3 linked regions of the Coturnix japonica genome follow. The protein of the gene in region 3 purifies or fractionates together with the protein of the main gene of each other region. This does not show direct contact. Links are inferred from orthologs where the notes say so. Each region holds a gene or a part of one and is shown on either strand. Other genes may lie near its edges.

Evidence for each region.
Region 1: the proteins of PRPF3 (region 3) and SF3A2 purify together in Homo sapiens (affinity purification with mass spectrometry; 3 studies listed by BioGRID and IntAct, with this or other methods). This does not show direct contact. The link is inferred for Coturnix japonica from reciprocal best matches to the Homo sapiens genes PRPF3 and SF3A2.
Region 2: the proteins of PRPF3 (region 3) and SART3 purify together in Homo sapiens (affinity purification with mass spectrometry; 5 studies listed by BioGRID and IntAct, counting the BioPlex papers as one, with this or other methods). This does not show direct contact. The link is inferred for Coturnix japonica from reciprocal best matches to the Homo sapiens genes PRPF3 and SART3.

The regions. Positions count from the first base shown.
Region 1 is NC_029543.1:1,222,299-1,232,312, forward strand, and holds SF3A2 (splicing factor 3A subunit 2), read right to left. Parts: upstream 5,117-10,014; 5' UTR 5,060-5,116; intron 4,238-5,059; 5' UTR 4,187-4,237; coding exon 4,061-4,186; intron 3,656-4,060; coding exon 3,584-3,655; intron 3,265-3,583; coding exon 3,218-3,264; intron 2,615-3,217; coding exon 2,505-2,614; intron 1,870-2,504; coding exon 1,820-1,869; intron 1,676-1,819; coding exon 1,535-1,675; intron 1,029-1,534; coding exon 960-1,028; intron 774-959; coding exon 441-773; 3' UTR 297-440; downstream 1-296. Other genes in the region: AMH (muellerian-inhibiting factor), read right to left, coding at 1-5. UniProt on the Homo sapiens protein: Component of the 17S U2 SnRNP complex of the spliceosome, a large ribonucleoprotein complex that removes introns from transcribed pre-mRNAs.
Region 2 is NC_029530.1:5,663,919-5,673,932, forward strand, and holds the start of SART3 (squamous cell carcinoma antigen recognized by T-cells 3), read right to left. Parts: upstream 5,849-10,014; 5' UTR 5,594-5,848; coding exon 5,426-5,593; intron 4,188-5,425; coding exon 4,061-4,187; intron 3,475-4,060; coding exon 3,370-3,474; intron 3,220-3,369; coding exon 3,035-3,219; intron 2,163-3,034; coding exon 2,057-2,162; intron 1,303-2,056; coding exon 1,178-1,302; intron 978-1,177; coding exon 822-977; intron 534-821; coding exon 395-533; intron 72-394; coding exon 1-71. Other genes in the region: ISCU (iron-sulfur cluster assembly enzyme ISCU, mitochondrial), read left to right, coding at 5,903-5,989, 6,066-6,179, 6,513-6,623, 7,346-7,424, 7,641-7,732. UniProt on the Homo sapiens protein: U6 snRNP-binding protein that functions as a recycling factor of the splicing machinery. Promotes the initial reassembly of U4 and U6 snRNPs following their ejection from the spliceosome during its maturation.
Region 3 is NC_029540.1:1,891,949-1,901,962, reverse strand, and holds the start of PRPF3 (U4/U6 small nuclear ribonucleoprotein Prp3), read left to right. Parts: upstream 1-5,138; 5' UTR 5,139-5,265; intron 5,266-8,280; 5' UTR 8,281-8,317; coding exon 8,318-8,462; intron 8,463-9,209; coding exon 9,210-9,340; intron 9,341-10,014. Other genes in the region: MRPS21 (28S ribosomal protein S21, mitochondrial), read left to right, coding at 1,364-1,446, 4,655-4,835. UniProt on the Homo sapiens protein: Plays a role in pre-mRNA splicing as component of the U4/U6-U5 tri-snRNP complex that is involved in spliceosome assembly, and as component of the precatalytic spliceosome (spliceosome B complex).

The sequences.
Region 1 (10,014 bases), on a different chromosome or scaffold from region 3:
TGCATGTGTCTCCAGCCACGTGCAGGTGCCAATGTACCTGTACAAGCTCCCAGTGCATGGGCTCAGCCTCCTCTGTGTTCCCAGGACCTGTGCAGGATGGAGCTCAGGATACGGCCCCAGCACAGACCCAAAGAGCTCACAAACAGGAGGCTCAGCTGAATTGTTTCAGGCCCGTGATGGGCATCAACAGCTCAAAGAGCAGCAAGACGGAGGGAGCTGCCAGTGAAAGCTCACCTGGTGCTTTTCAAAGCAACCTCACAGCAAGATTTTAACCAATTACACGGGAAGACAGGGAGGAAGAAAAAGTGAAAACCTTTTAATGGACCTACAGGATCTAGTCAAAATCACTGGCATACAAAACAAAACTATTTTACCCCAATCAGTTGTGACCTGCATATAAAAAACTATGAGCCAGATGAGTCTGGTGGGTTGGAGAGGCTTCAGTTGGAAGGAGGTGGAGGGGGAATAGTGCCCGGCCCCTCTGTGGGGAGGGGGGGTCTCATCATGGGTGGCAGAGGAGCAGGGGGAGGGACACCGGGCGCTGGGGGGAGCTGAGGTGGCACTGGAGGGGGTGGGACTGGTCCGGTTGGTGGCATGGGGGGCAGAGTCATCCCTCCTGGAGGAGGTGGAGGCATTGAGTCCGGCAGAGGGGGTCTGGGGGGCAACCCGTTCATCAGCGGGGGTGGAGGAGGCCTCTTCACAGTCGGAGGGCCCGGAGGAAGGTTGGGAGGAGCTGGGGGCTTCTCCATTTTGAAGTGGAATTGAAGGAAGAACTGGGGAGAGGGAGAAAAGCAAAGAGAAGGGAACGATCAGCTCTCAGGACAACTTTGTGCCATCACACATCAATGATTTTAGCACCAAAGCCAAACAGATTGAACTCCATGGTCTTTTCCCCCAGGCTCTGCCCTCCCCCACCCCCTCTTCAACCCTTAAGAAAGATGCTGCCATGCTCCTGCTACCTGTTTGGTTTCCCTGTTCCAGTGGGTCCAAAACTTTCCCTCTGCTTTGTCGATTTCTCTGCTTGGCACCTGCAACAAAAAAGAACAGGGAGCTATTATTAGCAGCACCAGATTAGCTCAGTGGCCCTTTTTAGCACCAGAGCCCACCAGATAAGCAGTTATTCCAGGCCTTTGTGAGATGCGCTCGTCTCGGATGTTATTAGATAGAGATGGGGGCAGCAAAGAATTGAGTTACTTCCCTATCGGTCAAGGACAAGAATGCTGGCAGAAAAAACCCCTCTAAACATCTGCACAAAGGCTGAGAGCAGAGACCAGGAGGATCCTTTTTGCTCCAGACACTAAGAATTCAATGGCTCCCCAGAGCTCAACGCAGAGCCCGGTTTTCATGCCAGAGTCCTCCAGTAATTCTCAAGCAGAGTTTAACAACTTCCAGTCGTGTCTTCTTCACCTTCCTTTCCAGGCCATTAACCTCCCCAAAGGCTAAAACAGAACAAGTCTATGACGGCCATCACTGGGAACTAATGTCCTGGAAAATATGGGAACTCTCCCTGCCATCAGTCAGTCCCAAACATTACCTTGAAGGCGATGGTTTCGTAGGGCTCTGCTGCCATCAGGAGGTATTGCCAGCGCCGATCAGGGGGCTCAATCCTTTGCTCATACGCTGACATGAAGCGATGGCGAGGCATGATGCTTTCTGCGATCTCCGGGTAATCGATCTGTTGGGGTATTATGGCAGGTTTACAACACTCCTCCATACAGAACAAACTCTTCAGCTATGCAAGAATTCAAGGGAAGCTTCTGACTGCTCATTTAGCCACGTTTTTACTTGGATAACCCAGAAACCAAGAATCTGATCTTACCTGGAAGAGAAGGCTCTGCTGGCCTGTCTCTGGATCTCTCTGTTTGGTCACTATAGAGAAAATAAGAAAGCTCAGTACACTACATAAAGGTCAGTACAGTATTACTTCAGCCCTAGGAAGATCCAAACAGCAAAACATGACAGGATTTTGTTTCCTATTTATTAAATAAAATGCCACAATGCCTTCAGCCAAAGTTCCTGAGGGTATCTACTGAAATGCAGCTGCTGTGGGGCACAGACACTGACACAATATGCATGGAGATAAAGAAGCCATGTCTTGTACTGAAGGCCAAAATGAAACAGAGGGGAAAAAAACTGAGTTATACATCCAGTGGGTGACTTGTGAGCAATAGTATATTGCTCTGCCATAATAGAGATGGCAGAGCACAATAAAAGGGAAAGAGAGACTGAAGCAATGCCACCATCTCCCATATGACTACAGTAAGAACTGACAGAGACTGAGACGTACTGATCTATTATTAAAATGGCTCTCACTCGACTGTCAGCAATAAAGAGACAACCCATGGGTAATTTAAACAATAAAGGACATCAGGAGATAAGCCCATATCTTATTTATGGATAGCTCTGCTAAAAAGGCTGATGAACAATTCATGCCCACAGCACTGCACTTCAAGCAAGCTCCAGCAGCCACGGGGTATCTGCTATGACAGGCACTGCTGACAAACCTTTGTAACCTGGTCGTCCAATTTTCACAAACTTCTTCACTTCCACTTTGACTTTTTCTGGTGCAGGTTGGGCAGGAGCTTCCTTTGCTTCCTTGGCAGCTCGACGAGCCCTGGGTTCATTGGAAACGCGCAGTGTTAAATGGTTATCAGCACTTGGTTCTGAAGGATACTCTAAAAGGCAGAGTGAGTTCTGTATGACGGAGCATTCAGCACTTCACAGAAAGCATAATGGGAAACTGCTGCTCCTCCTCCACAAGCACCATGGGAGGCCAGTTCCACTCCTTGCCTTGACTACAATCTGTCACCTCCATCACCTCACCCACTCCTAAGAGGACTTTGATGTCCAGCTCCACAGATGGAGCTGAGATGACTTCTTAAAAGTCAAAAAGGAAATGAATTACACAAGCCAGGTATCTAAAGCAGAGCAAACCTGAATTCTTAGATTAAAGCTTACAAACTTTTCTCAAGCTGTATTCATAAAACAGCTTCCCTTACAGTTATACTTAATCTAAATGCCATAGCTGGCTTTGAAGTGGAGCTTGTCAGCACCACTGTTCAGAGCAGAGCTGGTGAATGCCTAGGAAACAAACAGAGACAAAGAGCATTCAAGCCCAGAGTGCTACTACATGATGGAGGCCAAGATTTATAGGTGCTCATTATCTAATTTTAATGTGCCCAAGTAATGGAGAATAACACGGTGGAGAATGACTTACAGATTGGTCTGATGCTTCTTCCCCTGCGTATGTGCCAGGTAACTTCCCTGGGGGGAAAAGAAAGTTATGAAGACTGAACTGTTCCTGAACAGAAAGATATTTGTCACAGATGAGAGGTGACATTTCACACTGACAAAGATATTTTAATCCTCAGAGCACAGCAGAATCAAACTCACAAATTTCAGATTGCTCACAACTGCTGAACTGTCAGAAACTTGTCATGCTTAACACACACAGCCTCTGCTCCCCCCATTGGCCCTCCAGCAATCAGCCAACGGGAACAGCTTCGGTTCCAGCACTTGGAGCTAGAATTAGTCTAAAATATCTGCTGCCATGGAGATCAAGACAGACAGCTGCTCAACTCACCTCATTGTTATGGAGCGTCAGGCAAAGCTTGCATTCATAAGAACCCAAGTGATTTTTCATAAAATAGGGGTCCTAGGAAGAGAAGGATTGAAAAGTTACATGTAAAATCTGCATTGGAACAACTGAACAACCGAGATTCTAAAGCAGAGCTGCACTGTAAGAACTCTATGAGCTCATGGAGTGAAGGGATCAGCACAACACTGCTTTAGGAATATAGAGAAAAAGGAACAAGAGCAGTTGTGTTCACTGGTAACAGCACACCCAACTGCAGCATAATAAGAACCAGTGCCAAGACTGAACATAACAGAAGCCCAGTGCTGGTATCCCTCTGCTTGGCCCTTCCACATGTTGCTCGAGTCCCTCATCAGTGGGAACAGAAGTATTTATTCCACTCCACAGATCCCCACTAAACCTCTCACTCTCTGCTGAGATGAAGCCCTGACCTCACCCCATGTAGCCTGCAGGACTGGGGCTCACCTTGTTGATGTCAATGGTCTCCAAAGCCAGTTGCCGAAGCCTCTCCCTGCGGTCTCGGTTGCTTTCTGAGGCTGAAGCTACGCCTCCACTCCCCGTTTTACCTCCAGGACGGTGCTGAAAATCCATGGTGGGGATTTCTGGGCTTTGGAGACTTCAGGAGAAAAATAAAATAAAAGTCTGGAAAAATGAAGAAAAGACACATAAGTGACAACACAGCCCTAAGCTGGGCCTCGCATTGAGCCCTGCCACGAGGACACGGCCCAGGCACTGCCATTACCTCAGCAAGAGACAAAACCACCCCCAGCCCACCTCTACCCTCTCACACAGGGTCACACACCCCCCAGCCACTAACATGGGGGTCACAACCCCCCAGACACCCCCTCACCCCCCTCTAAACACCCCCATTCCCTCAGCGAGCACCAAAGCTCACCTCAAAGCCCCCTACAAACACCCCCCGAACTCTCCATGCCACTTATAGCCCCCCAGTTTCCTTTTGGAGGGTCCTGTCCCTCCACTAAGAACCCCTCTAAGCCCCCTCACCCCCCTCATTCTCCAGTGCAGGTCACAGGCTCCATAGGTTCCATAGGCCCCACAGGCTCCATAGGTTCCATAGGCCCCACAGGCTCCATAGGTTCCATAGGCCCCACAGGCTCCATAGGCCCCACAGGCTCCATAGGCCCCACAGGCTCCAAATAGGCCCATATGCCACAGCCTCTATAGGCCCCATAGGCTGCACATGCCCCATAGGCCCCACAGCCTCCACAGCCCCCACAGGTTCCATAGGCCTCACAGGCCCCACAGGTTCCATAAGCTCCATAGGCCCCACAGGCTCTATAGGCCCCACAGGCCCTTATTCCCTTAGCGACGGTCACTGCCCCGAAACAATCCCCCACAGGGCCCAAGACCCCCCTCCAGACCACCCCATCCCCTCAATGAGGGTCTCACTCCCCCATATCCCCCCTTTAAGCCCCACATCCCCTCCCCCTAAATCCCCCATACCGCCGTGCTCAGCCCCGCTCCCGGCGCATGCGCTCTGCCCTCCCCCTTCCATCCCCTCTAGTTCCGGATAGAGCACTACCGGGTCGGGTATGGGTGGTTGTAGGGTTGGGGTGGTTGTAGGGTTAGGGGTGGTTTGTAGGGTTGGGGTGGTCGTTTGGGGTCCGACATGAGGTACAACGAACGGGAGCTTGCTGTCCTGTCCAGGCAACCGGCAGAGAAAGCGGCAGAGATCCATGATGAGGGTCCCCAAGAAGGGGCAGCGGTAGAGGGGGGGGTGGGAAGGGGGTGAGGGTGGAAGATGGGGGGGTTAATTGGGGGTGGGAATGGGGAGTGATGGATTGAGGTGTGGGATGGGGGTAATGGGGTGGGGGTGGGATGGGGTGGGGTAATGGGATGGAAACTGGGGGTATTGGGATGGGGCTGTTGGAATTGGGGGTGCTGGGGCAAGAGCTGGGGTGTTGGGATGGGGGTTGTTGGATAGAGCTGGAGGTGTTGGGATGGTGGTAAGGGATGGAATTGGGGTAATTGGGATGGGGGTATTGGGAATGGAACTGGGGTATTGGATGGGGTATTGGCATAGAGCCTGGGGGTGTTGGGATGGGGGTATTGGGATGGAACTGGGGGTATTAGGATGGGGCTGTTGGAATGGGGGTGCTGGGGCAGAGCTGGGGTTTTGTTTGGGATGGGGTATTGGGATGGGGGTATTGGATATGAGCTGGGGGTGGGATGGGGATGGGGGTGTTGGGGTGATAGGATGATGGGATGGGGGTAATGGGATGGAACTGGGGTTATTGGGATGGGGGTAATGGGATGGGGGTATTGGGATAATGCTGGGGGTGTTGGGGTGGGGACAGGAGTATTGGGATGGGGGTAATGGGATGGAACTGGGGGTATTGGGATGGGGGTGTTGGGATAGAGCTGGGGGTGTTGGGATGGTGGTAATGGGATGGAATTGGGGGTATTGGGATGGGAGTACTGGGTCAGAGCTGGGGGTGCTGGGATTGGGGTATTAGGATGGAGCTGGAGGTGCTGGGATGGGAGTATTGGGATGGAAGCACAGGGATCAGAACGGTGTACTGGGATAGGAGCGCTGGGATGACAATGGAAGTCCTGGGGTGGAAGCACTGGGATGGAAATGGAGATGCTGGGAGTGCTGGGATGGTTTGGGGGCCCCACACACGCTGGGCTCGCTGTCACATCACTCCTTTCCTTCTTCAGTGTTAAAGAAGCGCCTCGTGAAGCTCGTGGTGAACTTTCTCTTCTACTTCAGGACGGATGAAGCTGAGGTTCGGATCCTGCTGCTCCTCACACACACACAGATACACACACGCACCTTTTTGCTTCACGTTTATCACGTGTGCTCTGTGGATCAGTGCAACACGGCGTCCTCCCTTCCCCCTGCACAGTTCAGGCTCCTCGGTGGGGGTGAGGAGAAGCAGTGCCAGCAAACCACACCCTGCTGCTTTCTACAAACACAACCATCGCCCTACAGCAGCAAAAGCTGGACTCTGTCTCGTGTAGTTACAGACCTCACATAAAACCGAGGCTGCTAAAGATCCTCCTGTTCTAAAGATCCTGAATCAGCACAGAATAACCTTTATAATGAATATTTAACCCCGATCACGGCTCAGCTCTGTGCTGAGAAATGCTCTTTTCTTGTTTCTGTGGGTAACTGCCAACGTAGAACTGATGCACTGGAAACTGGCCCTCAAACAGGTGCTTCAGCACCAACGGCTGCTGCCTGATTCACAGTCAACCCCCCATTGAAATCCTATGTCCAAACTAAACAAAAAGCGAGAGGTTTTCATTTGTGGCTCATTCCACCCTGTGGTTCTCATGTCCTTGCTCAGTATGTGCTGGCTGGCAGCCTGTCCCTACAACTGCTTCCTTGTCCTGAGCTGTTCTTCATCCACACACACTGTTCTTTAACCTCCTGCAAAGCTCGAAGGCCGCCCTTAGGAAGTCAAATGTTAAACAGTTTATCTTTGTTCGATTTACTCTGCAAGGAAGTAAACTTTATCGCTGCCTTTGCGGGACAGAAAGGAATACTCAAACCCACATTGATTGTGAGCACACAGAGACTCTTTAGAGGACACTCTGTAAGCTCCATGGGTTCAGAACACTGTAGCTCTGACAGAGTGTGCTGAGCCCCCTCTCTTTATCTTTTCCAGCCCATTGGAGCGCTGCTGCTGGAGCACTGCAGGATCACCAAAGAAGAGGAGAACGTTTTCTCCATCAGTGAGTTCTGTATCTTTGTTCCCTTTGCATTCCCCTCGCAATGGCTCTCGGTAGAAGGAAACGTTTCCTGCTTTCTTCCTGCTTTTTCCCATTCTCTATCTGTGCTTCCCAACCCTCCTCCCCATCCATTGCTGGTTGGTGCAGAGCTGCCAAGCTCCAGCCCTGGGATGGCACTGTCTGCCTGTTGGTATGATGGGCACGGCTGTGTATGAAGAGAGGGGCAGGAAAAGCAGCCGGCCCACAGCTCAGTGCTCATAGCTGTCCCTCTCAGGAGGGCTCAGTATTGACAGATTGCTGCTTCTGTGCTGTTGCACCTTATCAAAACCACAAGCAGGCTTCAGATAAAGCATCTGTGGTGCTGATGGGGCAGCACTCCTCCCGCCGTGCTGTGTCCTTGTGTCGATAGCCGTGGCTCCAGCTGCCTCGCTCTGCGTCGGCCTTTCATCCCAACAAATAATCATTGTGCGAGAGGTATGTGGCAAAAATAACAGGATGTTTCTCCAAGGCCATCCCCGTATCTTTTGGCCTGGCAGTCAGGCACAGCTGCTTCTCAGTGCAGAGCCACCTCCCCGCTCCCAGCCAGCAGAGATGGAGTTCTGCCCATCCCACGCAGTCTGAATGCAGTCGGGAGCGTGTGGGGCTTCAGCATTACCAGAGCTCTGCTGAGCAGAGGTTCCCAAGAAAGGTGTTGAATGTGATGGTGCTTGGAGCCGGTCTATGTCCCGTACAGCAGCTCTGAGGGGTTGGGTGCAGCCTGACCCAGTTATTTCCCCCCATCTCTGTGCGCTGTGTACTAAAAAGCAGAGCTCTGAGGATGATGTTAATTAATTAGATGTCCTGATTCTGTCTTGGTAAAGACTTAAGAGTTGCGCAGGGAGTTGTTTTTCTGCTGTGCACAGTACTGAATTCCCCAGAGCCTCCAGCAAAGACAGGTCAGTACCTTCTTTTGAGTGTGATTTCATTCCTTGGATGGCCGCCCTCTGCACACCACACAATCTGTTCCTCGGGGCCATTTTCCACTCTGGTTACTAAATCTCCCCTGACGGTTTGTAAGGAGGCTCAGGGTGTTTCATTCTGCATTTGCCCAGCCCAGCTCCAAAACTGTCACTCTTTGAGAAGCTGCTTTTTCCCCTCCGAAGTGTTTGGCTGCTCTGAGCTGACAGGAGCTGCAGGCAGCTGCTCAGGGCACCTGGGAAACACAAAGCAGAATTGCCTCTGCAGTTGGTGTTGCCTTTGGAAGTGTCTCTCCCAGGCAGGAGTGATGCTGAAGGCTGCTGAGCTGTATGAGGTGCACCTCTGGGCCACCATCACTCCCATACAGCTCTAACACAACTGCATGGTTATGCACTCAGTGAAGGGAAGGGCAATGTTGAGGAGTGGCTGTTGTGTTTTTTCCAGTGCCTTTCTATCAGCAAACAGCTTCCTGAGCTGGATTTGCAAGTGTACAGGGGCAGGCTTGTCTCGGCCTTTGCTCTTAGCAGGCAGAGAAAGAGTGTGACTCCAAGCCATAGTTAGGAGCAAGACTACAGGGTAAGATGGAGGGGACAAAGGCCTGGGTTCCCACCTGGTTTTTAGTTCATCTTAGATGAACAGTGGTGCTATTTGCAGCCTATTTGAGGAGGAGGAGCTCTGCCAGGACCTCACACCTTCTCCTTCTCCTTGGCAGGTTTCATTGAGGAGCCAGAGAGGAAGTATTGCTTCGAGTGCGACAGCGAAGAGCAGTGCCAGGAGTGGATTGAGGCGCTCAAGAGAGCCAGGTGGGCTGAACCCCAATGAGAAGGGTCTGCTTTGTGCTGCACATCCACTGCAGCTCCACATTGTTTGCTTCCTGGGATCAATTGGGGTGAACCTGGGGAGGAAAGCAGCTCCCTCCACCTGGCCAATCTTCCCTTTGGCTCTAAATCACTTCAGAAACTTCCCCACGTTCCTTTTTGCTCAGCCCACTGTTCTTTTCTTACAGCTACGAGTTCATGAGAAGAAGTTTGATTTTCTACCGGAATGAGATCCAGAAGATGACAGGGAAGGTGAGTCCCTGCAGTTGGCTGCTGGGGTCGGGCTGGATCTGTGGCCTTGCTGCTGTCCCAGCTCCCCCTGCCCATGTCTCACCATCACTTCCCCTTGCTCTCCTTGCAGGACCCCCTGGAGCAGTTTGGGATCTCGGAGGAAGCCCGTTTCCAGCTGGCAAGTCGCAAGCAGTAATTAATTCCACAGGCTCCACTCTGGAGGGGTCAAACCCACCTGCACCCCAAGAGGAACAGTGGCAGATCCCCCCCCCCAGCAACGACCAACTGACGTTTTAATTTATTAGCCAAATGGGACTATTTTTTTTTTTTTAAATGATTTTTTTTAAGGGAATTCTTTGCACATTCCCACCTCTCCTGCCCTCCCGCAGCCACGTGGGCAGCCATCAGACTGTGACCTTGTGCACCGATGCTGCTGCAGCCATGGGAGTAACAGCAGGAGCAGAGGAGGAGGGACTGAGCCGAGCTCCAGCACTCACTGTCCTCCAACAAAGGCTCAGCCCTGGTGCCAGGAGCTTTGGGGCCGGCCTTGTGCCAGTTCCAGCTTCCCCTTAATCCCTGCCCTCCTGCTGGGAGCTGCTGGGCTTCTCTGGCTTAGGGTGTTCCTGTAGGATGATGCTCTGCCTGTTGGCATTGCTGTGCCGCAGGGTTAACCCTGCTGTGCTCTCTTCAACACAAAGCCATTTCCATTCAGAA
Region 2 (10,014 bases), on a different chromosome or scaffold from region 3:
ATACGCCTGCCAGATTTCTACATAGTCAGTTGCCTGAATAAAGCCTGCATTCAGAGCCTTTTCAAACATGTCTGAAAGAAACAGAGGAAAAAAAACAACCAAGCAAATATATATTTCCTTTTCCATTGTATTTCAAAGTATAAGACAAAGAAAATACAGTGAATTAGTTAAGAAATTCAAGGTAAAGCCAATTTAATTTAGCAGTGTTCAAGCAAAGTTGAAATGAAGCACTTGCTCAGTAGTGAAGCTGCTCAACCAACACAGCTGTGCCTTAGAAGCACACTACTGTAAATGTCATCAGTTTTAAGACTGCTGCAGAAAGGTTGCAACGAATTCTACAGGTCACACATCAGTTCTGCAGTGTAAAGAAATACTGTTGAGAACCTTTCCATACCAGAAATAATGCAGTGATCAACTCCATGCCTCTCCATTGCTAAAAGATACTGAATCCAGAGCCCAACCGTCCAGGGACAGTTCCTGACAGCACGGTCATGAGCAGACAAAACCAATTCTTTCACTTTCAGCTGCCGGTCCTGAAATAAATCACACACCAAAGTTTTAAACTCCTGTTAGATAAAAAGCCCACCCAAGACAAATAGCAGCTTAAAAAGCTAACAACTTAAAAATATATATGGATCTTATATTTGAAAATCTAAAGACAGGACTGGTGTTTTAGATTTTACACACATAGGAACTCAGTGAATGCCCTCAAAACAGAAAGGAGGAGCAGAATAAACAGTAACTCTGTGCCATGTTAAGTCTGGCAAAGACATAAACAAAACCCCACAAGGAAAAAAGCCTTTTATTTTTCCCTTCCTTACCAAATACTGATTGTAGCGTGCCCACAGGTCTGGTACAAGGCAGTTCTCAGCCAAAGCCCTCTCGTAGATCAACTGAATGCGAGCTGGATCACCAGCTTTCATTTCAAAATCAATGTAAGCTTGGTATTCTGCTAGCTTCGGTGTTTCAGCACCCAGCTACAGGACATGAAAAATAGAAGTCTTCTAAACAAAGCATGCTTCAAACAGCTCAACTGACTCAGTAGGTCCTGCACAACATTCCAAACTTGAACTTGGCCTCTACATTTCAGCAGCTCTGTCACTTTTAGTGCTGGGAACTACATTTCAGCTTTTGATTTAATTCTTAATTTTAAAGGAATGTATAAGTAACAACATACCAGTGCCTCCTCGTATGGTTTACACTTCTCCAATTGCTGTAGAGCCTTTTTGTAGCTCTTTATTGTTGTTTCTGGTATTGGATCTTCGGACCATTCCTCATACTCAGCATATGATGTGTCCATATCTGTTAAAAAAGACACGAAATCGCATCACTAATGCACTCAACAGACTAAATAATTGGAATTCAATCTCTGCTTGATTCTAACGTGGTCACGTTTCTGTTTATAGTTTTATTCCTTAACTGTCAGACTACCATATGACTAAATGATTCAGCTTATAGGTGTAATTTGAACAAAAACTTAGGACAAGTTGCTCATAATCATTAGCTTTTCCTTTACAAAACCAAAGTTGCAAGATTTTCTCAGGGCTTTAAAGAAGAAACCAACCTAGATGCTTTCAATGGAAAAATAAGGAAGTTTAAGACCTTTTTCCTGTATGCAGATAAAGAAGCAAGAAAAGGGACTTGAGGAGTTTGAAGTATGAAACTGATACAGCAGGACTATCAATCCAGCTGTCAGCATGTATCATTTACCTATCAGCCAATGCTCGTACACAGTGAGCTTCTCAGCTGAATTCCTAGCTCCTAAGGGTCATGCTTTGTGCTAATTACTTGTACTTTAAACAGCCTGAATGACCTCAAACTATGCAGCATGGAAACAGATAAACAAAGTTTCAATGACTACGAATATTTCCGAACAAACGGGAAATGTGCATCATTCAAGGGGCCCCAAAGGCAGGCAAATGTAATTGATCCATGAATACTCAAATCCAACAGCTGCAATTTGTGTGGCTCTACCAAAAGAATAATCACAATTCATGCCTACTTTGCCATAATACAGTTTATCCACGCCAACTCCCCCAAGCACGCAGGCTCTCACCTAACAGTGGGATCCCCAGCTGGCGCCTGAACAGCGTGTGGATCCTTTCAAGCTGGCTGCAGAGCATCTGCTGCTGCTCAGGCGACGGAACGCTGCCAGGAGCTGGCTGCAAACAAAAGGATTGAAATTTAATCAGCCCCCTCAAGCCTGAGTTGATGGACACAAGGGGGTATTGTTTACGGGTTGGTGATCTGGGCTCCAAACCACTACTACATGATCCTTGAAGAACACACATGGCCAACTTGTATTTCACGTGGCTGCTGCTAAAGCTAAAACCTGGAAACTGCTAGTCAGAAGCTGACGAAAGTACAAAGCATCCCCCAGTGAAAGCAGACACTGGGAAATGATAACCTGGAGAACAGTGTGTGATCATTCCAATTCACAAACCTACAGATAGGTTTTCAATAAATCCTTGATGCTTGCAGAGATGCTTTAAAACTCAATTCTTTTCTTTTTACAAGCAGAAGAGCATTCCCCCATTACTCCTCTGCATGGGCATTTCAATACTGACCAACTTTCACGTCTTATGTAGCAAGCTACAAGGAAACAGAAATATTGACATTCTAGTCATCTCGCAAAGTCTGATGTTTCAAAAAGGGTGAAACAGTGAATAAATTCAACACTGAGGCATAAGGCAGCCTAGAAACGCAAACATCACTGATTATGGGCAAAAGTATTCACTAGAATGAATAATAATGCTTAATAATGAAGCTACTTATTCTTGTCAGTACAAGCTAAAGAAGTAGAGTAGTTTTGCTTCTGGTTGTGAGGTTTTATGAACATATTTTAACACACCTCCACTCTTACAGAACACAGAACATTTTTCTCAGTCCAAACAGTCAGTCTCTACAGCTGAAAAGAAACAACTGAGTGACACCACAGCCTCATTTCTCCAAGGAGACTGATAAGCAGCATAAGGTGACTTCGGAAGCTCCACCACAGCCTCTAACTGACAGCAGCCCATCAGACCAGCCTTACCTGTGCTGTCTCCAGGATGGCATTCTCAAACTCACGGTACGCTTCCCACAGAGCTGTTCCTTTTGTCACGTGCAGCCCAACCGCTGTCAATGCTCTCTCAAATATTGAGCGAACTTTCTCAATTCCTCCTTCCTGACCAATGCCACCGATTGAATACTGGGCATATTCCAGCCAAATTTCAGGACCTAAACAAAGTTATGAGAAACAGGAGAGCTGATGTCCTCGAAAATACAAAGGCATCTCAAATACTTATCCAAAGGCATAGAAATTGTCTTTACTATTCAGTATAATAGACCTTTAAATGTTTTTTTAACTCCCACACATTAAGAACTTACAGATGTAATCCTTCACGGCTCTCTCAAACAGCTCATAAACTTTCTCTCGCTCTGAGATCTCAGAAGCCATTTTTATCTCATCCTTCAACCAGTCCAGCCAGATTTCTGAAACCAAGAAGTTTACAGTCACCAACGCTTGGAAAAAAACTTTTCCCTTTACATTTTTGGTTATTTTTTAATAACAGGCTTAAAAATGGGGATAGAGAAAATGGGGAGAAAAAGAGCAATTTTAAGTCCCCGCATCTACACACAATTAGTTTAAATGAAAAGTTTGGTACTGATGTCTCCAACCTAGTCCTAAGCAAGTATGCTTCTATTTAAAGAGAGATGAAGCTGTGAGCAGCAATTGGTCAGCACCATGCACAGAGAATGCACATAGGCCAGCAAAGAGGCATTGAGTGGCACAGTTTCCTTCTTTTTTACAAGAAACAGCAGATGGCTTTAGAGGCTGCAGGTTCCCACATGCCTAAGAGGAAACCTTCACTTGCCAAAGCTAAAAGCCCACTGCCAGGTATTTATATTGTTACAGTGTTAACTATAAATAAAAAGAAAGGCCTGCTTCAAGTTGAGTTCAGAGCTTCAATCTGATCCTTTAGGCTGGAACAGCATGGCTGAAACCTGGCACAAAGAGTATTTCACACTGATGATGCTTCATCAGTATTACCAGCTGCAAGGAGAAGCAGCTCTGTACCTTCAGTAAGTGGGAAGAGTTCACTCATCTTCTGCCGAGCTCTTCTGAGCTTCACCAGCTCTCCCTCTTGGCGGAGCAGCTTTATCAGATCCAAGTGGCAATTGTAGTCAAAAGCATTGATGGAAAGCTTTAAAGAAAATAAAGGAAGTTTTTAAAGGCTTGCAGAAGTCAGCAAATACTCAGCAGAACAGAACTTTACACACTGTTTTCTATGTGTCACATCCCTGCAGTTCTTGAACACCTCCAGGGATGGTGATCCCACCACCTCCCTGGACAGCTTGTCTCAATTCCTGACTGCTCTTTTGAAGAAGCAGTCATTCCCAATACTCAACAAGAACCTCCCCTGGTATAACTTAAGGCCTTTGCCTCTTGTCCCATCGCTGTTATATGGGAGAAGAGAGCAACTCCCACCCTGCTACAACCTCTTTTCAGGGAGTAGTGGAGAACCATCCTACAATTCTGTGATCCCCAGCTCCCTCAACCTCTCCCCATATAGCTCGTACTCCAAACCCTTTACAGCTCTGCTGCCCTACTCCAGACATGCTCCAGGGCCTTGATGCCTTTCTTCTGTAGTGAGTAAATTAAACGCAGCACTTAAGATGCCTTGCCTTCACCAGGGCCAAGTACAGACAGACATTCACCTCCCTGCTCAGTTACACAGAATCACAGAACTGTAAGTGACAGGAAAAGGCAAAGTCCTCTGAGGATCCCTCAGTCCAACCCTCCCCCCAGCAGGTAGCATTAGAAAGCATCCCAGTGGATCCTGAGCATCTCTAAAGAAAGAAACTCCACCACCTCCCTGGGCAGCTTGTGTCAGGGCTCTGTCAACTTCACAGCGAAGAAGTTATTTCTCACGTTCAGATAGAACTTCCTGGGTTCCAGTTTGTGCCCACTGCCCCTTATCGTGTAGCTGGGCATGGCTGAAAAGAACCTGGCCCCATCTTCACGATTTCTACCCTGACAAGTGCTGCTCCCTCAGCCTTCCCTCCTGCCTCAAGGGCAGCCTCAGGGCTCCTCAAATAGAAGCTGCAGGCCCCGACCACCTCTGCAGCCCTTCATAGAAGATCCCTGTTACTAAAGCTGGGCTTTAAAGTTCTGCAGAAGACTGAACTCACAGCCCTAAGGCCCGAGAGCCCCCAAGTACAGACACAGCGCTAACACCCAGTGAGCCCTCCTCAGCAAACGCGTTTTAATTCCTTCAAGATCACTAAGGAAACCACCATCTGAGTTCACTTTCAACATACCAGGGCTGCTCCCTGAGTCTCTCTCGCCCTGAAGCGAGGAATAAAAAGCGAATTAAAAGGCATCACGCCCGGAGGCGTTTCCAGATCTCCATAACCAAAGCACGGTACAGCCGGGCCCCACCTGCTCCTCCAGCCGCTGGATCTCCGCCTCGTTCTCCTTCTCCTCATCCTCGCCGTCTCCTGATGAATCCGAGTCGCCTTCATCCTCCGAATCCCCCCCCGACTCGGGGTCTCCCTCCACCACACGCTTCTCCTCCTCCACCGCCGCCTCGGCTCCCGCCGCCGCCATCTTGTTGCAGCTCGCCTCGCTGCCGGCCGCTCTCAGCCAGCCGATGGGGTTGGCTACTGCGCGCCTGTCTCAATATTGTACATTCCCCCCAGCCAAAAGCGGTGAAAGAAAGGACGATAAACTCTCCCGACAAGGTTCTGCTCTTCTCCGCGTCCAACTGCCACGAAAAGCCGAGCAGCTCGGCCCGTTACTCCTTATAATTTAGTCTGCTGCAGAGGCAGCGCCACGGACACCTCAGGGCCTCGGCCTCCAGGGGTCCTTCGGGAGGGTTGGGGCAGAGCGCCGCTGCCAGGTGCGGGCAGACTCAAGATGGCGGCGCTGAGGGCGGCGGGGGCGGCGCTGCTGCGGCCCGGGCGGGGGGCGACGGCGGTGGGGGGGGCGGGCTACCACAAGAAGGTGAGAGGGGCCGGGTAGGGCTGTGGGGAGCCCATAGTGCCCGTTGGGGGTTGTTAGTGACACGTTGTTCTCGCAGGTGGTGGATCACTACGAGAACCCGCGGAACGTGGGCTCTCTCGATCGCAACGCAAAGAACGTGGGTACGGGCCTGGTGGGAGCCCCGGCCTGTGGAGACGTTATGAAGCTGCAGGTGAGGGGAGCACGGGGTGCCCTGTAAGGACACAACCATCAGTGTCTGCCACCATATGGCTGTGACATAGGATTCCTCCGTCACACCCCCTTTAAGCCCCTCTGCAGGCCCTAAAATCCAATAGACCCCCAGCCTTAAACTCGCTGTCCCTTTACGCCCCTCTGCAGATCCTAAAATCCAATAGACCCCCAGCCTTAAACTCATTGTCCCTTAAAGTCCCTCTGCAGGCCCTAAAATCCGATAAACCCCCAGCCTTAAACTCGCTGTCCTATCGCTGTCCCTTTGTGTGTGGTTCCTACGTGGAACTGAGCGCCCCTCTGATAACTCCCACAGGTGGAAGTGGATGAGAACGGCCGCATTGTTGATGCTCGCTTCAAAACCTTCGGTTGTGGTTCTGCCATCGCTTCCAGCTCCTTGGCAACAGAGTGGGTGAAAGGGAAGACGGTAAGGGCTTGGCTTAAGGGGCACAGTGGGGAGCAGGTACATATTCACACCCACTGCTGGGATCAGGGAAGGAAACAGGGGTCTAGAGAGGTGCTCTCCAGGTGTTACACTCACATAGAAGCTCAGAATGCAGTTTCATCTTTCCTGACTTTTAAAGCAATATTTGCCTTTTCTGGAAGTCTCCAATAAGCTGTGAAGAAGCTTTGGGTGCTACACAGCAATCGAAAATAGATAAAGAAAGCACTTGTATAGTGGAATGTCTTCCATTGGCTGATCTCCGTGTGCTTGGCATTGTGACAAGCAGGTTGTTTCTATATTACAGCAGAACAAACCTGGAACAGTCCCTGCAGTTGGTCAGCAGTAAAATAATGCTCTGGTTTATTAACAAGCACTGCACACTTTGAGACATTCCTTATATTTCATAGAATCAGGGGTTGAAATGGACCTCTGAGTATCACCTAGTCCAGCTCCTCTGCCAAAGGAGGTTCCCTGTAGTAGGTTGCAGATTTGTTGCTTGGCAGGAGCAGAATAAAACAGGTATTATTGAAAGGCCTTTCTTATGGTAGAACACTATCAGCAGCTTTTACTGCCTTCTCAGAGCGTGACTTTGGTTGGTTCCAGTGCTTTGAAGCACACCTGTATCAAATACCTGCGTGGTGTGTGGGCATCATATGTACATGTGTATGCCTGACTGATGACTGTACCCTACCCATACATTTCAGATTGATGAAGCATTGAAAATCAAGAACACAGACATTGCAAAAGAACTTTGCCTTCCTCCGGTCAAACTGCATTGCTCTAGTAAGTAAAGCATCAAACACGTTGTTATTTGAGAACACAGATGCTTTTGTACGTTCTCCAAATAAAGCTTTGCACACATAGCAGCTAAGGCTGACCCACAGTGGTGGTTATTGCTGGCTGCTTCTGCTTGTACTGCATCTTTTGTTCTAAGTGACTTGTCACTGTTATTTAAAGTGCTTGTAAATGACATTGTTTTGTGCTCTTTTTCTCCCCTAGTGCTGGCTGAGGATGCAATCAAGGCTGCCTTGGCTGACTACAAACTGAAACAGGATCCAAAGAAAGGAGAGTCAGAGCAGAAAGCAGACTAATTCCTAAACAGACTGTAGAGGTTGTCCTCATTCCAGTTCAATTTGCAGTGCAATTATTCTAGCTGTTAATAGAATCCTGTGCACTACTCAAGAAGCTGTAAGATACGCACAACTCAACGCACAACGTGTCACTGGTCATGTGTGTACAGCCACCCTGGTAGTGCTTAAATGACTGGAACGTGGGTATTTCAGCAGCCTGTGTCCTGTCAGGATTGGTTTTGAAATGGTGAGAGTGAAGGGCTGCTCTGCTTCAGGGCAACCCCCCGGTAGCTTCTCAAGAGAGAAAGAATCCTCCTGTTCCAGCATTGGAAGGGCTGCACTTTTTTTCTTCTGTATAGTTTTGCCTAATGTTTTACAAAGAGTTTGGTGGGAAACTTGGTTGCCTTGGTCTTTATGTGGGTCACTTTGTCAATCAATACAGTATATATAAATCTCATGTGGTTTGGCTGCAGCTGTGTTGGAGTTTGGTTTCACAATCTGTGACCTCTCACATGCTGTCTATCCCCTGCGTCACGCTGCTCTCTGGGAGGAGCTGGGATGCTTCACCAGGCACTAGAGGGCACTGACTGTGGGAGGTGAGCAAATAACAGCAGCTGCAGTTGGTTGCCAGGAAGCTCAGAGCCAGCAGCGTTAGCAGGACATGTTTGTGTTCACATCCTCCAATAGCAGGAGGGTTAATGTTGGAGCATCTTTTAAAAGCATTCAACCCTTTAGTTTGCCAAATACTGTTAAGGGAGATTAAACACACGCTGAGGATTCAAACCCAGAATGCAAATAGCTTAACTGGGATGTAATACTGAGGGGAACCTCCCTGGAAGAGCAGGAGTCAGCCTGTGCCCTCTGGGGGTGTCTTCTGAACTTCCCCCATCCCTTCCAGGGCAGAGAGAGCAGCCAGTGCTCTTGGTACTAAGCCAGGGGCAGAAGGGGATCCTTACCTGCTGCTGGAGCTGATTTTGGATGCTATTTCTGATAGCTTCTGTTGTTGCCTTTGGTAGTTTTAGGGCTGGATTCTCTTCATTTGTGGAAAGAAACCTCAAAAACACAGCCTGGCAGATACCTCCCCCGAGCAGCTCTGTGTGCACAGCTAAAGCTGCTCAAACTGCTTCGCTGGAGGAGTGAGTTATGAAGAGAGCACAGGGGTAGCACTCACCAAGTGGAGGATTTGCCCACCCACCACATGAGCTGGGCTCCTTGGGAGCGTGGGGCACAGAGTCAGTTCAAAACAGGCGTTTTATGGCCACACAGCATGGCTTACCCTCTGTTCTTTAGACCACTGTGCTCCCCTGTGCCTCACAGCGATGGCTGTTTTCCAAGGGAGTGTTGCCACAGATCTTCAAATCAAAAGAAAATGCACTTAAAAACCTCCCTTGCTCTTATAACATCCTCACCCCACGCCCCACCCTATCTTCCTTTCCAGTTTTCATACCTATGATGTTGCACAGCTGCATTAAAAACAACATTCAGTAAAAATAAGTGGCTCGTTCTGGTTTCTGTCTGCAATGTAATTATTTTTTGAGTTATTATTTTAAGTTGTTGTCACTCCTGTTTGGGGGAATCCTTTGGTTTCCCTGCAAAATGCTGTCAGCTGGAGTAATGGGGATATATTAAAAGCATAGAGCGACATTGGTAAAAGGATGTGAGGTGTAAGGATAGATGACAGCAGATACAGTTGCTTTAAACCCAAGAAAGGTAGTGGTCACAATCCAGTAATAAAGAAAGAATTGCTCACCCCATTTCCAAGGATCAGGGCTCATCAAATGTGACAAAGGAGCCAATCTCCAGGTAGAGATGCTTCCTTTGTGGCTGCCAGCCCTTAAATGAGGTTAAGGAGGGGTGGACCCAGGTGAATTGCTTCCACCTGTGCTCCCAGGGCTGACTACACCCCTTCACCAGCTGCTCAATGATTCAGCCCATGGCCTAACAACTCCCATACATGAGGATACAGGGTTGTGCTGCCTTCCAGGTACATCAGACACTTGCCTTCTATTAGCACGCCCTGCTGCAGGACAAAGCACGTGTCTGAGTTCTCAAAGCAAACCAGTGTGAGATCAGGAAACAAACCTGTGTGCATCTCCCCAAAGAGGATCTCAGGCCAGAGCCCTCCCCACTCACAGTGCTGGCTGACACCAGATAAGGGTTTCTGAGAATTGCATGCAGATTGTGCAAGTGATAACAGTGTCCCCTGGCTCTGAGAGCGTCACCAGCAGCAAGCACACAGCTGTAGGGAGCATTACTCCCCTGCCCATCCTCATGTCCTCAAGCTCTGCCAGGGAAGGATGGCA
Region 3 (10,014 bases):
GGGTTTTATTTTTTGTTTGTTTGTTTGTTTGTTTTTTAATTATTACTTGGAAAGTTGGGAGCAGGAGGCAGCGCCCCGTCCCTGGACTGCAAGAAAGACCTCGAATGAAGCAGATATTTGGGGTCACCCCCCCCTCTTAAAACCCCATAGACACGCAGCAGAGCCGCCCCCCCCACCCCGAGCGCAGTGCCTTGGGGCCTCGCTGCAACCCCCAGGGGGTTGGGGGGCACAAGGGGACAGGGGGATGGGGGTGGGGGGCAGGCCCCCCTGCAGCAGCACAGCCTCCCCCCGGCCTCGTGCCTTCCCCGTGGGGTCTGGGGGCGCGACGCGTTCCCCCCGTGGGAGCAATAAATGGCAGCAGAGCAGCCGGGCTGGGCTGTGACAGCATCCTCTGTACTCATTCGGGGTGTTATATGGGGAGGGGGGGGGGCTGTTTTGGGGCTGACGGGGTGTGGGTTTTGTCCTCTTGGGCTCTGGTGTCCCCTGAGCTTGGCTTCCATTTGGGTCTTGGTGTCACCTCTGGGCCTGGTGCCCCTCCAGTGCCCCCCACCCTTGGCCCAGTTGCCCTCCTGAAGCTGTTGTCCCCTAAACTTCATGTCTCCCCCCATGGGGCACAGTGTCCCCTGGGAGCTCCCCTTGTCTTCTGGTTCTGTTGTCATCATTGAACCTGGACCCCATTTGGGGTCCTGATATCAACCCTGAGTCCTGTGTCCCCTGGGGCCGCTGTCCCTTGGATCCAATGCCTCCCCCAGTGTGCTCCAGTGCCCCCCCCCGGTGCTGCTGTCACCCTGGGGTCTTGTGCCACCCCTGGACCCTCAGTCCTGCTGTGTCCATACCCACTTGGACCATCATCCCTCCAGGACCCGTTCCAATATCCCCCATTGGGTCCCCTATCCCCTCTTTGGGCTCAGTGTCCCTTAGTCACAGTTGCTCCTTACCATGACTTGTACCTCCTCCTGTGCCCTGTATCCTTTAGGACCCCATAACCCCCAAGCCCAATGTCTCCCTTGGTCTAGGGATCCCCTGGAGCCGACCCCAGCCCCACGCAGTGCCCCCTACCCAAGACCCCATAGGGATACCCGGAGGCGGAGCCTCACTCTTGGCTCCGCCCACTTTCACTCAAGCCACGCCCCCTTTCATTCAAGCCACGCACCCAGCGACACGTGTCGTAAGCTCCGCCCGTTTCTCTTAGCCACGCCCACTTTGCGTTAAGCCCCGCCCCTTGCGTTAAGCCCCGCCCACAACCGGTCCCGGTAGCGATTTCCGGTTCCGGGGCGCACTGAGGTGAGTGTCGGTGTCGGTGTTTCGTGGGGTCTCGGTACTTCCGGGGTGACCGGGAGATCCCGGATCGTTCCCGTCGGCCATGGCGAATCACCTCCGCTTCATCGGCCGAACCGTCATGGTGCAGAACGGCAACGTAGATGCGGCCTATGGGGCGCTGAGCAGGTGAGGGGCTGAGGTTGGGCCTGGACGGGGGGCGCTGAGGGGTGGGACTGAAGGGAGTTCATACCCCCCCCATCCCCTATGTCCTCCCATTGACTTGCATTGGCTGCTCTATAGGAGCTCAGGGCCCCATTTGTGGCCTTGGAATGGGAGATTCCTATAGGGCATCTATAGGGCATCTCCTATATACTGCCATCTGAATGAGGCCTCGATGCTCTGCCCTGCTGCTCATTGGGGCTGTGAAGTCAAGGAAAGGTGATTATGGCCATAAAGTGCTGCCCCAGGGGCATCCCTATATGACTATGTGCTCCATTGTACTCTATGGCACATCACAGTGCATCCCTATATGACTATGTGCTCCATTGTACTCTATGGCACATCACAGTGCATCCTATATGACTATGTGCTTCCATTGTCTGCTATTGGGCACATCAACAGTTGTCACACACATTGATATGTGCTGCCTGTTACTCTATGGCATCATACAAGTGCATCCCTAAATTATCACTATTGCTCTCTCTGGTAGAACTTAGGCGAACATTCACTAGTGCATCCTATATGGACTTATCTCCAATTTAACTCTATGGTACTCACAGGTGCTTCAAAAGTGCTTCAATTTGCTGTGGGGTGTCATAGAAGCTTCCTATTGGGACCCTTCTGTTTGGTCTCAAGCACCCTAAATTGCACCCAGAGCTCTCCAGTTTGCTCTGTAGCCAAAAGGTGCTGCCCCAGGGGCATCCCTATGTGCTCCAATGTACTCTATGGTACATCACAGTGCTCTCAGAGTGCTACATTGTGCTGTGGGGTGTCCTAGAAGCTTCCTATTGGGACCCTTCTGTTTGGTCTCGAGCACCTTAAATTGCGCCCAGAGCTCTCCAGTTTGCTCTGTGGCCAAAAAGTGCTGCCCCAGGAGCATCCCTATGTGCCTGTGTGCTCCAATGTACTCTATGGCATGCCACAGTGCTCTCAGAGTGTTTCATTGTGCTGTGGGGTGTCCTACAGGCTTCCTGGGGGCCTTTTGGAACCCTTCTGTTTACTCTTTAGCACCCTAAATTGCACCCAGAGCTCTCCAGTGTTCTCTGTGGCCAAAAAGTGCAGCCCCAGGGGCATTCCTATGTGTTCCAATGTACTCTATGGCACACCACAGTGCTCTCAGTGTGCTACATTGTGCTGTAGGGTGACCTACAGGCTTCCTGGGGGCCTTTTTGGATCCTTCTGTTTGGTCTCGAGCACCTTAAATTGCACCCAGAGCTCTCCAGTTTGCTCTGTGGCCAAATAGTGCAGCCCCAGGGGCATCCCTATGTGCTCCAATGTACTCTGTGGCACATCACAGTGCTCTCAGAGTGCTACATTGTGCTGTAGGGTGTCCTACAGGCTTCCTGGGGGCCTTCTGGGACCCTTCTGTTTACTCTCGAGCACCCTAAATTGCACCCAGAGCTCTCCAGTTTGCTCTGTGGCCAAATAGTGCAGCCCCAGGGGCATCCCTATGTGCTCCAATGTACTCTATGGCACGCCATAGTGCTCTCAAAGTGCTTCATTGTGCTGTGGGGTGTCCTAGAAGCTTCCTATTGGGACCCTTCTGTTTGGTCTCAAGCACCTTAAATTGCACCCAGTGCTCTCCAGTTTGCTCTATGGCCAAATAGTGCAGCCCCAGGGGCATCCCTATGTGCTCCAGTGTACTCTATGGCACATCACAGTGCTCTCAGAGTGCTTCATTGTGCTGTGGGGTGTCATAGAAGCTTCCTTTTGGGACCCTTCTGTTTGGTCTCAGGCACCCTAAATTGCACCTAGAGCTCTCCAGTTTGCTCTAAGACGCTCTGCAGGCTTTCTGCTGATCCCAAATGCCTGACAAGTGCACCCTAAACAACTCCTAGAGCTCTCACTGCTGTTTTGGGGTCTTGTAGCACAATGCTGGTGTTAGGTTGCTTCAAGGCCAGGCTTTTCCTATGCAGCCCCAGGGCCATCCCTATGTGCTTTAATGTATTCTATGGCACCTTCCTCCTTATTGCAGCCCACTCTTGGTTGCATTCTTATGGAGTCAGAAGCACTTGCAGAGCTGCAGTGACTTCAGCTTCCAGCAGCAGAAGGATTGCTTTGAGTCCTTGCAACCTCACACATGCAGTGAGGAAGAACGAGAACAGAATGCAACAGCTGTAAAGTTTGGGAGCAGACAGCAGATCTTTGCATTGCGCTGCCATACTCAGGGATCTATGCAGGGCTCGGCATGGAGGAAAGAAGCTCATTTATTGTGGGGTGGGCGAGCAGGGAGAACAAGAAGTGATAATGAGGTTTGATCTTGTAATGCAAAGCTTCAGCAGGCAGAAGGGGCAGCAAAAGGGGGAGATATAAAGGCTGGATAAAGGACAATTAGAAGCAGAAGGGTCAGTGAAAGGGGGAGATTTATAGGCTGGATAAAGGCCATTAGAAGCAGCTGGGCTGTGTTAGGAAGTGGCCATGAGGGAGGAGAAAGATGTTGACCTGCAGAATCAAACTCTATAATCCAGAGATGGGTTATAAAGCAGGTATGTTTATTCCAGCATTGCGTAGCGCCGGGTGCAAGGGGGATAGCTCCACCAAACATGCACACCGACTTGTAAAATCATGACACAGATCTAGGTACACTTAATACATAGTCAATGATTTCTGATACATATTCAATGATTTCTTAGACTTCTAATACATTGTCAATAGTTCTAGGAATTCTGATACATATTCAATAGCTCTTTAGCATGCAGACCCCCTCTTGTTCTTATCAGGGGGAATGCAACTCCTCATCCGTGAGGTCTCACTCCTTATCTGCATCCTCCCTGCTCTCCCATAGAATCACAGAATGACCGGGGTTGGAAGGGACCTCAAGGATCATGTAGTTCCAACCCCCCTGCCTGGCAGGGCCACNCAAGGATCATGTAGTTCCAACCCCCCTGCCTGGCAGGGCCACCAAACATACACCTTTACTAGATCAGGTTGCCCAGGAGACCCCATAGATCCCCATAGAGACCCCATAGATCAGGTTGCCCAGGGCCCCATCCAACCTGGCCTTGAACACCTCCAAGGACGGGGCATCCACAACCTCCCTGGGCAGCCTGTTCCAGGCTCCCAGGCCCCTTGTTTCTTTTACTTGTTACCTTTAAGTTTCTTTTACTTCTTTCTCTAAACTACCTTTAAGTTTCCTGCTTCACTCTTCAATGTGACTCATGTTCTCCCCCCACAGGATCCTGTCTCAGGATGGCATCGTTGAGTCAGTGAAGCAGGGCCGGTACTACGAGAAGCCGTGTCGCAAGAGGCAGCGCTTGGCTTATGAAGCGTGCAGGCGTGTGTACAACACTGAGATGGCCCGCAAGATCTCCTTCCTCGCCCGCAAGAGTCGCATGGACCCATGGCTGGGCTGCTAACGGGGTTACAGCCGTCTGTCCTCATGGCCGTCTGTCCTTTGGGTGCTGCTGCTGTTAATAAATGCTGTGTGCAGCGCTCTGCTTCGGCCACGCTCGGGTGTTGCGGTTGGGGGTGGGGGGAGAAGCGCTGGGTTTTGGGTTCTGGGTGGCGTTAATGGGCCGGGCTGGTTCCGCTCGCCCCCACGTGGTTATTTCCCGCCACGCGGGGCGCGCCTTTTCCACCGGTTTCCCGCGCTCTCGTGTCACGTGAGCAAAGCGCGCGGCTTCACTTCCTTCCTTCCATTCTTTCCCGGCAGCCCTCAGGCGGGCGGGACGCGCATGCGCAAAAAGATCCCCGCAGCCATTTCCGCTTCCGCCCCGACGTGCCGTCGCCGTCAGGCCCGTTGTCGCCGTCCGGGCCCGGGGCCTGCGGGGGCCGCGCCCCGCCGCGGTGAGAGGCCGCGGGGAGGAGGGGAGGGAGCGGCTGAGGGGAACGGGGGGGGGAAGGACCGTGAAGGAGCGGATCTGAGGGGACTCGGGGCCCGGCCGTGACGCGGGGTTGCGGGGCGAGGCCAGGCCCCTCCGCTTGGGCCCAACGGGAGCGTTGAGTTGATGCGCTTAAACCCGGGGCTGAGGTTGGGGCTGAGGTTCGGGGTTGGGGTTCAATTAACTCATAACGTTAATTAGAGCCGCTAATTGAAGAGGATCCCTTCAGGAGTTGTGGGAGCTGCCGGGGAACCGAAGGGCTGCGGTTGTTGTGGTCTCAGCATCACGTTAACCGTGTTTTGGGAAGCACCGGAGGGATGTTGACAATAGAAGGACACGGGGAAATAGTTTGGAGTTAAAAGAGGGAAGATTTAGGTTGGATGTTGGGGGAAGTTCTTCACTAGGAGAGTGGTGAGGCCCTGGAACAGGCTGCACAGGGAGGTTGTGGATGCCCCGTCCTTGGAGGTGTTCAAGGCCAGGTTGGACGGGGCCATGGGCAACCTGATCTGTGGGGTCTCTATGGGGATCTATAGGGTCTCTGGGGTCTTTATGGGGATCTATGGGGTCTCTATGGGGTCCATAGGGTCTCTGTGGGGTCTCTATGGGGGATCTATGGGGTCTCTGGGGTTTCTATGGGGATCTATGGGGTCTCTGTGGGGATCTATGGAGTCTCCTGGGCAACCTGATCTAGTAACTGTGTGTGTATGGTGGCCCTGCCAGGTAGGGGGTTGGAACTACATGATCCTTGAGGTCCCTTCCAACCCAGGTCATTCTGTGATTCTGTGGGGTTTATGGAGTCTCTATGGGGATCTATTGGGATCTATGGGGTCTTTGGGGTCTCTGTGGGGTTATTGGGGGTTATATGAGGTTATATGGGGTTATGGGGTCTCTATGGGGTTATGGGGTGGATATGGGGCCTCTATGGGGTTAATGGGGTCTATTGTGGGTTGGAACTACATGATCCTTGAGGTCCCTTCCAACCTGGGTCATTCTGTGATTCTATGGAGGGATGAGGGTCAGTGGGTGCCTCCATGTGGGTGTTACCTGCCCGTTTTCTGCTCCTCTTACGCCCTCAAAGTCCCATAGAGCTCCCAGCACCGACGGCTGTAGGAGCGGCCCAATGATACTGATATGGGGGGGGGAGGGAAATACTATTGGAGCGGCTGCTCTTCTTTCTCCGTCCTCGTTAATTGCAGAAGTTGAAGAGGAACGTGAAGTTTAAGCCAAGTGTGAATTAATCCTGTTTAGCCTTTCTGAGCAAGCATGCAGAAAGCTGTAACGCATCAGCAGTGCTGATATGGCATAGTAATCAGTTATCTTGATGCATCTTGACGCTCAATTAACCTCACCTTGAAGTATTACCTGCTTCCAAGCCTGGACTTAATGATGAATTACTGTAATGATGCCCCTTTGGGCTGTATCTGATGCTCCTTTTTAATGTATCTCATTGAAACCTGCTGTAAAAGAATACAGGGCTGCAAGCTGTGTCCAGCCTTCTCCCTATGGATCATTAGGAGCTTCCCAGCTGATGCTTCAGCCCCTTTGCTGCTCTTTCAGATCCTTCTCTTGGCTGTTTTTCAGTCTCTAACTTGAGAAGCTCTTTGTTACCACATCCAGGATCTTTGCTCTCAGCTTTAGTGATGATAAGTGTATTTTGGATGCTGTTTGCTCTCATTTTAAGGTAAAGGCTCCACAAGGTTTCTCCCATGGGCATGAAATGTTGAGGTCAAACATATTTCCTTAAGAAGATTTTCTCCTGTTTCCAGATAAAGGAGACTTGGTTTCCAAATCAGATTAGTGCCTGGCTACGTAATTAAACATTATTGCATCCGCTTCATTGCAGCTTGTGTTAAAGAACTGCTAACGATTAACGGTGGGAAATTATTGTCTTGAGTCTGATTTGGAATTGGATTCAGTAGGAGCCAACAGGGCAGCAGTGCTGATCTGCTGCTTCATTTAAGCAGCAAACACAAAGGTAGTCAGGCATGTGCTGATTGTTAAGTATCAGTAAACCTAAATGAGATTGAGTTCCCCCTGGTCATTATAAGGGAGGCAGCCTAGAGCTGGGAGTGTGCTCGGAGTTGTATGGGAACCTTATGGGAATGGGAAGAACTCGAGGTGATCCAAGTGTGTGTGAGATGTTGCTGTATGTGTTTAAGGTGTTGTTGTACATGAAAAGCTTCTACTTGTGCTCCTGGAAGTGGTTTGTGGGGCATCTCTAAGTGGGCTGGCGTGAGTGTAGCTGACAGCTGATTCAGGCTGTGTTAGCAGGAGAAACCACGGGCTGAAGCAACACCAAGACCAAGCTTTTCTCCTCCTGTGTGTGAGAATCTTAGAATTATAGGTTGGATGTTAGGGGGAAGTTCTTCACTAGGAGAGTGGTTAGGCCCTGGAACAGGCTGCCTAGGGAGGTTGTGGATGCCCCGTCCTTGGAGGTGTTCAAGGCCAGGTTGGACGGGGCCCTGGGCAACCTGATCTGTGGGGTCTCGATGTGGATCTGTGGGGTCTCCTGGGCAACCTGATCTAGTAAATGTGGATGTTTGGTGGCCCTGCCAGGCAGGGGATTGGAACTACATGATCCTTGAGGTCCCTTCCAACCCGGGTCATTCTGTGATTCTGTAATCTGTGTGTGGAAGTGGATCCTGATTTACAGCAACTGGAACATGCTTGCCTTGCATTCTCCCAGTTCCCTTAAAGGAAGGGTGCTCTTGTGCTGGTCGGGGTTAGGACATTCTGCACTTCATTTCTGCATAAAACCCATGAGCAGAGTTTCTCTTCTCACAGTTTGATGTTGCATCTTGTCTGTTCTTTACTCCTGTGTTGCTCGTGTAATTTTAGCACATGTTTTAAAAACAAGGGAGTAAAAATAACCTCCAGGAGTTTTCACCAGCTGCAAGCCCTGTCTTCAATGCAACAAAACAACGATCATCTGATGCTTTGTCTTATTAATCTCTTCTTGTCCTGTTTGCTTTCTTGACAGGTACGAGCAAGAGAACTGAGCTCAGCTACGAGCAAAAATGTCGCTCTCCAAAAGGGAATTGGATGAGCTGAAGCCATGGATCGAGAAGACAGTGAAACGAGTGCTGGGTTTCTCCGAGCCCACTGTGGTCACTGCAGCACTGAACTGTGTTGGGAAGGGCATGGACAAGAAGAAAGCAGCTGGTATGTCACACAGCCCTGAGCTTGTGTCGGAAGCAGTCAGGCCCTTTGGCAGAAAGAAATGTATATAACATGCAGACAAAAACCAGATTCTGTTATGAAATGAAAGAGTGTGTGTTGGCATCCCCCATTTCTAGACACTGTGTTATGTTTGAAGCGGCCTCAGATCAAGTTTATGCTCTTTCCCTCCATCTATGGGAGGCTGAGCCTGTGCTGCTGGTGTGTAAATGCATGACAGGTTGTGGTTTCATTGCCACTCAAGGCTGTCAGTGTCTGGGAGATGGATGCCATCTGTGTTGATCTGGAGGCAGATTTGTTCAACACAAGCTTTTATGCTTAAAACCAAAGCTAAACAAACCCTGGAGCTCTCACATTCATCTCTGTGCACAGTGATAGGGGTAACAACTGACAGCCTCAGTGAGGCAGAGGTAAATATGTGCAGGTGAGACAAGTTCAAAAGCTTTGGGATGTACTGCAGAAACTTAATCTAGTGGAGGTCTGGACTCCAGTACAGTGAATTTAAACTCCTTACTGCAGGATGTCCTTTTGTTTGCCCTTTTTCTTAACTCTGGATGTCAGCATCTGCAGATCCCAGAGGCTTCCTGAGCCCTGATTGCAGGCTCCAGTGCATTAGTTGGGTTGAAGCTGTGTTTAAATATTGTTTTGTGGCTTTGCAGAGGTCTCTGTGAGTTCTCCCACTCATCCTGAGCTGTGAATTCTGCCATTGACACAACTTCTCTTCTTTCTCAGACCATCTCAAGCCCTTTCTTGATGACTCCACCCTGCGATTTGTGGACAAGCTTTTTGAAGCAGTGGAGGAAGGGCGAAGCTCCAGGCACTCAAAATCCAACAGTGACCGGAATCGAAAGCGAGAGCTAAAGGTGAGTCCAGGACTGATTATTGATTGTGGTTTATTGTTGTTTGGTGGCTTTGGAGGCAGCACTGGTACTCTGTCACACTTTCCTCTTCCAGAGAGGTACATCTTGTAATGCTTAAAGTTCAAGAGAAAAGACCCTTCTCCATGATGAAGTGTGTGAGCCTTTACCTTTCAGTTCTCTTTGCCTTCACACCAGGTAGCAGAACGCTGTCCTTGGTGGTGTCCGAGGTGGAAGCCTGAGCTTTTGGTTTCTTTAACAATCTCTGCTAGGCTTGTGCAACGAAGAATCTCAGATAGCAGGGCTCCATATCTGCTTCCTCTCCTACTCATGACTGTTGCATTTGGCAGTATTGACTCTTGACTGCCTTGCAAATTGGGGTAGTGTGTCCCACCTCACAGTAACTTCTCATTCCTCTTCCTTGCTCTGATGAGCAATGTTTCAATCTGCCAGCTGACGGTGCCCTTTTGCAAGTGAATGGGTGAGTGATCTGATAGGTTTTCATTCTCTTTTCCATCTGGAATCCACAGAGGGCAATTGTTGGCAACTTCTTCCCCCGCCACCATAGCATAAGGCTGATTACAGCAGGGATGTAATAGTTCTTTGGTGTTTCTCCCACCTAACGCTTGTCTGGGATGGGGAAGGCTCATGCATCCAAACCTGTTTTCACTTCCTTTGTT